Linked DNA regions of Cricetulus griseus. The protein of the gene in region 2 interacts with the protein of the main gene of each other region in a pairwise test. Links are inferred from orthologs where the notes say so. Each region holds a gene or a part of one and is shown on either strand. Other genes may lie near its edges.

The links.
Region 1: the proteins of Necab2 (region 2) and Iscu interact in binary tests that used the Homo sapiens proteins (3 or more experiments, as listed by UniProt). The two-hybrid records come from large-scale screens. The link is inferred for Cricetulus griseus from reciprocal best matches to the Homo sapiens genes NECAB2 and ISCU.

The regions. Positions count from the first base shown.
Region 1 is NC_048597.1:93,420,641-93,425,212, forward strand, and holds the end of Iscu (iron-sulfur cluster assembly enzyme ISCU, mitochondrial), read left to right. Parts: coding exon 1-27; intron 28-1,574; coding exon 1,575-1,653; intron 1,654-2,970; coding exon 2,971-3,056; 3' UTR 3,057-3,441; downstream 3,442-4,572.
Region 2 is NC_048596.1:196,101,487-196,106,195, reverse strand, and holds part of Necab2 (N-terminal EF-hand calcium-binding protein 2), read right to left. Parts: intron 3,633-4,709; coding exon 3,579-3,632; intron 3,140-3,578; coding exon 3,027-3,139; intron 184-3,026; coding exon 106-183; intron 1-105. UniProt on the Homo sapiens protein: May act as a signaling scaffold protein that senses intracellular calcium.

The DNA.
Region 1 (4,572 bases), on a different chromosome or scaffold from region 2:
GCCACGGAGTGGGTAAAGGGAAAGACGGTAAGAGTGGTCACAGATTGTATAGAATTATTTAATCCCAGCACTCAGAAGGCAGAGACAGAAGGATCTCTGAATTCCAGGCTAGCCTTGTGCACATAATGAGACCTGTTTCAACATAATCATAGAATTAAATCAGAATTCCCTGCAACCCTGGCTCTGGAAGAGTCTAGTCATAAATCACAAAACAAAAAGCAGGAAGATGAAGATAGTTAGTTCAAAACCAGCTTGGGAAAGGCAGCAAGACCTTGCTTAGGGGGAAAAAAAAGATGTCAATGATTTCTTGAAGCCATTTTCTAAAGTTTAATACTGGTTACATTCCTCACATTGGGAGTTGTGAACCATTTTGAGGCTTTTTGTTACTGTTACTTGGTTATCAGCTAAATAGACGAGGGTCATCACCAGTCCCTCTGACCAAGCAGAACTGAAAAGAAACCACCATGGGCTTTCCCTAAGGTTTCCTGAGAATACTGTGTAATAATTACTCCTTGTTTCCTCCTATCTCCTGTTTCGACTGGGATTCCAGAAAGGCACACTTAGAGGCTGGTAGAAGTATCTTGTGTTGAGGGGGTTCAGAAGTCAAAATCACAAGGATGAGGGCGGAGTAAAGGAGAGCAGTGGTCCGGGTGGCCAGCCAGGAACTTCTGAAAGGAATTGGGAATGGGCTGTGACATCTTTTCTGTCCTTTTCTCTACCGGCCCCCTCCTCAGCAGCTAAGATGAGTCTGCTAAGATCCAGCTGCATCAAAACCACCCGCACTAGCTGGGTGTGGTGGCTCATGGCTCACCAGCCAGGAATCCCAGCGCTTAGGAGGAAGAGGCAGGATTGGGACAGGAAGGTCTTCCTCAGCTACGTAGCAATTTAAGCATCACCCTGCCCTGCATGAGACCCCATTTTAAAGCAGTGCGCTCATCTTTTGTACCCTTGCAGGACCCAGTTCAGGAAGCTGAGTCATGGAGGGGTATGCTTATGTTGTCAGCCAGCCCTCCAGTGGAGCCATTTACTAGCCTCATGCCCCCTGCTCCACATGATTCAGGCACTTGGGCTGCAGAGCTTAGGGAGGCCCAGGCCTGCTTGTTCTGGAAGAAAATGGCTCAAAGGAAGTTGGTTAAGAACTAGCCTTGGGGAAAGGAGAAGTGAGACTGGGCACATGCTATGACATGGCATTTAGAGAGCTCTGAGCTATGATTGGAAAGTAGGAAGACTCTTTCTCTAATCTCAAGGTCTCCTGTCTGGGGGAGACTGGCTTTCCCTAATGTACTGGCCATGTCCCCTGCCTCTATCATCCCTCAGAGCTCTCAGTGCACAGGCACCCTCGGGCAGAGGCTGCAGAAGCAGCCTAGGTAATACCTGCCTTCAGTGGGCAGGGGTCTTGTTCTTGCTTACCCAGCCAGGCAGCTCAGTTGTGTGTGTCCCCCTAGAGACCCCTGGGTACACAGTGGCAGTTCTGCCCAGTAGTTGTTTTGAAGTCCTAAGCAAGAGTTACCCGACAGCCCATCCTGGGGTGTGTTCTGACCTACTAAAACTTCCCACTTTCCCCTGCACCTCAGGTGGAAGAAGCTTTGACCATCAAAAACACGGACATCGCCAAGGAGCTCTGCCTCCCGCCCGTGAAACTGCACTGCTCCAGTGAGTCTACCCCAAGTATCAGGAACTGAGACGCTCAGTAGTCATAACTCCCTGTTAGGCACCTATCCTGTGACCCCAGAAAACATCTGCCATGGTAACCTTTGGGAGATTAGAGCCTATGGTCTCACGCTCCAGAGCTCTAGGAAGTCAGGCTGGGAAGCCTCTGCCCTAGAGCCACACTGAGCACCCAGAAACACCCCAGCCGGCAGCATTGCTCCCCTCAGAGATGAGGAAATGAGGCTTGGGGAAAAGCAGTAGGGCCAGAGGTGAGCCCGGATCTTTGTTCAGAATCAGCTGTTCCCACCACACTGGTGGACAGGCGGGCAAGAGACAGCTTTCTCCACCGCCCTCTTCACTGTGCATTTCCTCAACTGAGGTCATTGTGTAACACTTGCATTGCCCTAAGAGAGGCCATGCACCTCAGAACCTGCACTCACATCTGATGCCTTCCATCCACTCCCATGTCCCAGAAAGCAGGAATGAGGATGTCACTGTAACATGCTGTCAGGTTTGCTGACCTAGTCGGTTCAGATGCATCAGAGAGCAGACGAGCGAAGGACTGGTGCACCATCCTCAGGACACCCCTGAGATCACACTTTACAGTTTGGCAGTTGAGGGAAAGCCTCAGCCTTTAGCCTTCCAGGTGCCAAGGCAGTAGCTCATCTGTGTGGGTCATTAGCTTTCTGTGGCCTTCTGGCTCTCAGCTTCTACTCCCCGTAACCTCACTCTGGGTATCCACCTCAGTAAAAGCCTTCCAGTATGGGACTGCAGGAGGAGGTGTGCAGACTGTGCCATCAGAGTTCTTGGCTTAAGGCTGAGCTCTGCCAGCACTTGTGACCACCAGTCCATACTCTCTGGGACCTGATCTTTGTTGTGTCCCTGCCTGGTGACAGGCACTTTCTGGAAATCCCCTCACTATCCCAGCCAGGAAGGCATGACCATCCCAGTCTGTGTGCCCAGCTAGGACACTCTTGGGCCTTCCCAGCTCTAGCACCCTCCAGCTTAAAAAGACTCTCCTCCTTAAGACCACCTCCCAGACCAGGGAGACAGCCCAGGGGTAAGGCTTGTCACCAAGCCCAAGTTAGAGCACTTAAACCCACATGGTGGAGAAGAAAACCCACTCCCCAAAATTGTCCTAGACCTCCACATGAGCACAGCACATGCACCCACTCACATACATGTACAAACACACGCATACATGCTCCAAATACCTATTTACACAACTATATGAATAAACAAAGATAAGTGTATAAAATCATAAAGACCACCTCTCCAATGTCTTGAAAGTGAAGCTATCTACCCTTCCATGCCTTCCAGTGCTGGCAGAAGACGCCATCAAAGCTGCCCTAGCCGATTACAAACTGAAACAAGAACCCAAGAAGGGAGAGCCAGAGAAGCAGTGAGCCCTGGAGAAGCTCCAGCGGGTCACAGCTGCCTCCTGCCACCCTGCACCACATCAACGCTACGAGAAACGCACACTGTTCACCATTGCCATTGTGGTTCTAATGCAGGCAAATACACTGTTTGATTATGCCTAGTTCTACGTTCCTTTCAGCTCACTCGTATCTTTAGTGCAATTAACGTCTGTTCTGATTTATGTTGTGTCCTGAGAGCTGAAGTCTTAAGCTTTGGTGGCCTTTGAAGAGTGACAGCAAGTTTTACCTAACCCTGTGGGGGGGAGGTTGCCAGCAGAATGCCTTGTAGTTATTTGATAGAATTTATTACTGTATATTTAACAGATCTGCATATATATATATATTATAATAAAAGAATGTAAGATGATGGTTATCTCCAGTGAACCTGCTTCTTGAATCCTTCACTTATGCCCAAAGCCCCTTGGGGTTCCCCAAGGCCAGGCTGAGATGAATAAGCATACCAGTGCTTAGCCACTTGGGTGCTCTTAAAAGGGTACAGGAGATAGATGTCTGTTGCTCCTCACTGCTCTTTGGGAAGTGTAGTAAATTCACAACAGCTTCAAGGGTCCCTGCAGTAATACCACTGGTCTATGAAAGTCAGAAATAAACCCAAGAAGCTAGCTGAGGTGTTGCCTAGCTCTGTGGGCCAAGCAGAAGAGCCTCGGGGTGAGTCTCAACTATTGTCTAGGCCCAGGCACCAGTTTCGTTCTGGCAGATGGTTCTGCTAGCCTTCCAGAGGCCTCACAGGCTTTTTGTGCCCTTCTCATGTTTCACTGAAGAGTACATGTACTGCACTAGCCTTGAATTTCTTCAAAACAGGCATCTCACTGGTCATGGTGGCACCTGCCTGTAAACCCAGCACTCAATGGGTTGAGGAAGAAGATTAAAAATTAGAGGGTAGCCTGGTCTACTCAGACCATGTCTCCAAACACAGTCTGACTCAGGCATGGATAGCAGCCACCCCTGCCCCGAGCTACACAGTGGTATAGCCTAGTGAAAGGCCCTATTTTCCAGTGAAGACACTGGAACACTACCACAGTGAACTTCAAAGGCAAACTGTTTCTGATGGCGGCTTTGTTGTGCAGGCACTTGCAGGCTGACTTTGAAATCATCCTTTATTTTAAAATAGTCTGAGTTCTAGTGAAGGGCTCAGAACTTCAAAGGCCACTCCCTCCACAGTCTGGAGGAGACCACAGGCCAGAGTCCATCAGAATCTCAAATTAGACCCTGGGTGGGGCTGTGTCAGATTGCCCTGCAGGGCTCGCTGTCCTGTGCTGCTATGTAATTCAGGGCCTTGCTCGTGGCCGTGGCACAGGGCCCCACCCCTATTTGTGACTTTAAAATGAGGCACTTCTGTCCCAGCTGACATCTGAAATTCCACAGCCTAACCCTGAGGATGGGAGTGAGTGCAGCCCAAACAGGCCCGGTTTCTAGCACTTGCTGTAAAGCCACCCCTCTGCAGACAGATCAACTTCGGCCCCATGTACCCATCACTGAGCCTAAG
Region 2 (4,709 bases):
CCTCTGAAGGTCCTCAGGGTCAAGGGACAGGGACTTAGAGCCAGCCATCCCCATCTTACCATAGCTCCACTCCCTGGCATGGGGTCGGGACAAGGCTGTACCTACCTCTTCCACTCTTCCTCTGTCTCCCAGAACTCATAGATGACGAAGGTGAGGCCATCTGCCATCCTCACTGCAGCGACACTGCAGGGAAGCGATACGAACATCTGTGGCTGGCGATGGCTGCCCACTGCCCACAGATGGACATCACAGTCTCAACCTCTGTCTTCCCCATTGGCCATCCACCGGACAATAGGAGCTGGAGACACCGGGGCTATCCTGGCCGAGAGTGCAGCTTAGCCCACTTGCAGGTGCTATTTCACTGACCACAATGACCCCAAGTCTCCAGGGGCAGCCACAAGGGCACCTGGCATAGCACCAAGGCCCACAATGAAAGCAGGATTTAAAACATCTGGTTTGGGGAGTTGGGAAGATGGCTCAGTTGGCACATGACTCTGAAAACCTGAGTTCAACCCCCAGAATCCATGTGAAAAAACTGAATGTGTCTCAAGAAAACAATGTTAGGGCCAGTAAGCTGACTCAGCAGGTAAAGGTGTTTGAAACATAGCCTGATGCCCTGAGTTTGATTCCCAGGACCTACATAGTGGAGGAGAGGAATATCTCCTGGATACTGTCCTGACTTTGTGCTGGCTAGTTTTTAAGTCAACACAAGCTATAAAGGAGGGAAACTCAACTGAGAAAACGCCTCCATTAAGGTCTTATTATTCTTACTTAGTGTCAGTAAGTGCTATGAGAAAGCAGGCTGGGAAAGCCCTAGAGGGCAAGCTAATAAGCAGCACCCTCCATGGCCTCTGTATCAGCTCCTGCCTCCAGGTTCCTGCCCTGATTAAGTTCCTGTCCTGACTTCCTTCAGTGATGGACTGTGATAAACGAAACAAACCCTTTTCCTCCCCAAGTTGCTTTTGGTCATGGTGTTTTATCACAGCAATAGAAACCCTAAGACAAGCACCCCCTTCCACAACCCCTAGTGTACACACACACACACACACACACACACACACACAGAGAGAGAGAGAGAGAGAGAGAGAGAGAGAGAAAGAGAGAGAGAGAGAAGCTGAGTACTCACAACTCAAGAACAATACCCAAGACTAACCTCTGTCCTACACATACATACACACACACACACACACACACACACACACACACACACATACACGCGCGCACATACATGCAAAGCACCTGCTTTTCAAACCACAGCACCCAGCCTGTGCCCTGCTCACTCTGTCTCTTTTGGTCCTTAAGAGGACACTGAAACTCAGGGTGGACTACCCACACTAAATGACCCGCAGCCCAGGCAAGTCCCTTGAATGACCTGGGCTGTCACTCCATTTCAGATGCGGAAGATCTTGGTGACTGGGGCAGTGATGTGAACGAACTTGTGGGCTCTGGTGGAGTCAAGGGTGCACTCAGTGCTGTTCCTGTCCCCGCCAGCTCCTCCTGGAGCCTAGATGCCTTTCTTTGCCACATGTGGCAGAAGTGTACCTGAGCCTCTCAAGGAGGTGACATTCATTAGGGTGAAGGCTATGCAAATTCCAAGTCATGAATGGTTATTCATGAGAAGTGAGGGAATGTGACTCGTGCACCAGCCTCAGGCTCTTGAGTGGATGAGGTGCCTGCCAGCCTTAGCTGTGCCTGCCAGCCAAGGTTCTGTGCCAGCCAGGGTAGGTGCCCACTCTGGTCTCTCTGTAGACACAGCAAAGGTTAGCATGGACAATTGGAACCATAGGAGTGTGGCTACCACAGGATGATGACAGTCAGTCAGGTAACCTTTGTCTGACTGCTGGCTTCTCAGGTGGGGACTTCCAGCAGGAAGGCACAGCAAGGCAAGCTTGGGTATGGAGGACAACAGGAGGAAACCTTTTGCACCCTGTGTATAGAACCTATACCAGGGTCCTGTCCTGAAGAAGCACTGGGATGGGAGGGGCAACAAAACCAGGAAGGCCCAGGTGAGGATAAGGGGTGTCCAAACCACAAGGTGAAGTTCTCCTCCCCTTTCTTCCTTTAAGAACTATGGTAAGGGCTTCGATGTTGCTGAGAGATGCCATGTGGCCAGCACCCACAAGAGATTTGGTTCGGTCCCAGCACAGCAAAGAAAAATGACCATCTGTACACCACCTCACTGAGCCTGTCCTCATCGGGGACCTCCAGACAGATATCATGGCATGCCCACAGGCACCAAGAAACTGACATGACTTCCACAGTCAACGTGACTGTATTCTGGCCTCTCCCATGCAATTGGTGAAATGATCCTTTATCAAGTTTCTCTGGAGGCCAAAGGCCTAGCCATCCCCTGCCTACCCCATTTCCATCTTCCCCTCCATCAGCCAAAGCAGGGCTCTTCCTCATCTGAATGTGTGGCTTCTCCCTGCAGCTGTCAGCCTATCTTCACACAGAAGACAGGGCCAACCCAGCTCCTGATGATGCCATCCCAACACAGAGCCTCTGGCACCCTCCTTACTCCCCCATCACCTGTCCAGCCAAACCACATCTCCCCTCTCTTGGGAGCTATGTGTGCAGACCCCTCACTGGAGGCCACAGTTATCTGCTTCACCTTGCTGCCAACCCAGGGTTGGCAGGACAGGAGTGGGTGGGGGCCGGTGACCTGCATTCTGGAAAACATACCTTCTGGAAGCTCAGCTTCTCCCTTTAATCAAGCGAGTTAGGCTCTATTGTGTGAGTAACAGTGATGACTCTGGGTGAGTGGTGCACGAACAGGCATGGCCTCAGCCCAGCATATTATTCTATTTGCCCTCCCAATATACTGTGCTTGACATATGAGTGAGCCCAGGCCTGGGGGTGAACTCACCCACTACCTCCTACAGCTGGAATGAGATTGAGCCTCACTTTCTTAGCTTCCTTGTCATGTGCCTCCCCTAGGAGAGGGCTGGCTCTGCCAGGTCCATCCCTCCCCACCCCTACTGCCAGCCAGAGGCCCTGATTACATCCCCTTTATCTTTGCCACTTACTGGAAACAGTTCCTTTCTCCAGCAGTGCCCCGGAGGTACTGTCGCAAGGAGTCCAAGAATTCGCTCAGCTGCTCAGGACACACAGCCATTTCTTGTCGGACCAGCTGCAGGTGCTGTGGGCCGAAGTGAGAGTGAACATGTGTGTCAGGCCCTTCCCCTGCCACCCATACCTTGTTCCTGAGAGGTGGAGACAAAAGGGTCAAAATAAAACCACCATGCTTTTTATTCTTGGATGTGCAAATCAGCTAAAGGAAGGCTGGGCCAAGTGGGTGAAGTCCTTGAGGGGCCCCCACAAACAGGGCAGTAGGAATGCTGCAGGGACCCCTATCCAGAGGCATAGCTAGTGACTGGCAGGCTGTCTTTCTGACCAAATGCAGTCTGGTGACAGAGAGGGCCAGATGATTGCTCTACTCTAGGCCAGATGCTTTTTAACCAGAGTCCTGGAGCCTTGGCTCACCATGCCCCTTGGGGAGGGAAGGCTGAGACATGGAGCTACAATACTCCTCAGAGGGCTGGAAGAACAGGTCAGAGGAGGGGCAGAGAGCGTCTCACCATGTCAGTGCCTTCTTCGTCTGAGAGGCGCTGCTGCAGGTCAAACCAGAGGGTCTAGAACAAAGCACAGTGGTGCCTGTGTAGCAGGCCACCTCCAGGGAGGCTCCCAAGGCCCCACCCAGGACATGGGGTACCTGGGACCCCCCCCCAGAGTTACAGCCCCTGTTCCTATGTGCTAGGCCTAGTGGACAAGGTTGCTTAGCTCCCAGACACAGAGCAGCAACAGGGGGTCCTAGGGCCAGCGAAGTCAGGGAAATGGCAGAGAGCTCCTTGTGGTCCAGGCCTCTGAAGCACTAGGAGACTCAGAGACCAAGGTGGGCTCCCAAGAAACTGTTTTTACCAAGATTTCATAAGAGCCCTAAGACCCATAACTTGCTGACCTCACCCATAGCAGTGACCCTGGGTTTCCCATTAACCCTTGGCCTGCGTGGGATGGCCTGTACGATGCTCGTCCAAAGCCATGACCAAAAGCTTTCTGTATAAGTCTCATTTCCCAGCCTCCCTGAGCCAGCTGCTGCCCACTGTGTGATTCAGGAATGCAGAAGCCATGCCTGCTCTGTGGGCCACCAGTACCTGGCACCCAAGACAGGGCCACACTGATGTCCAGTCATTGCTATGTCACAGCACAGAACCCCAGGCTCAGATGAGTTAAGGATTATTAGGGCCTGAGTTTAAACCTATGTCTCCTCTATTCTTCCTACAATGTGGGTACCTCACAATCACAGCCTCTGTGCCTGTCTGCCCTGCCCGAAGACAGCTACATGTAACAAGCAAGAGGTGCATCCACTGTTAAAGAAAACAGTGGTGGGTGGTTGGTTCTCAAGTTTGAACAAGGGCCTGCCTCTGAATCACACCTCTAGTCTCCACTGACCTCTTGTCTGTACATCTCAAGAAAGGGCCAAGTAGATAAGATGTCTTCGAAGATTCAAGCTTGTTTCTGTCACTTAACAGGCACATGGGCAGCTCCAGGAAGGCCGGGGCCCTTTGGTCTCTCTACAATGAGATGGCCAGCCCAGCAGTACCCAGACCTGCTACCAAGGACCTCCATCCTCCCTGCTCTCCAGGCACAGTTAGAAGCCTTGCCTGGCTATCTGGGGGGCCAAGCCTGGAGCTGGCTTGAATCTGCCCATA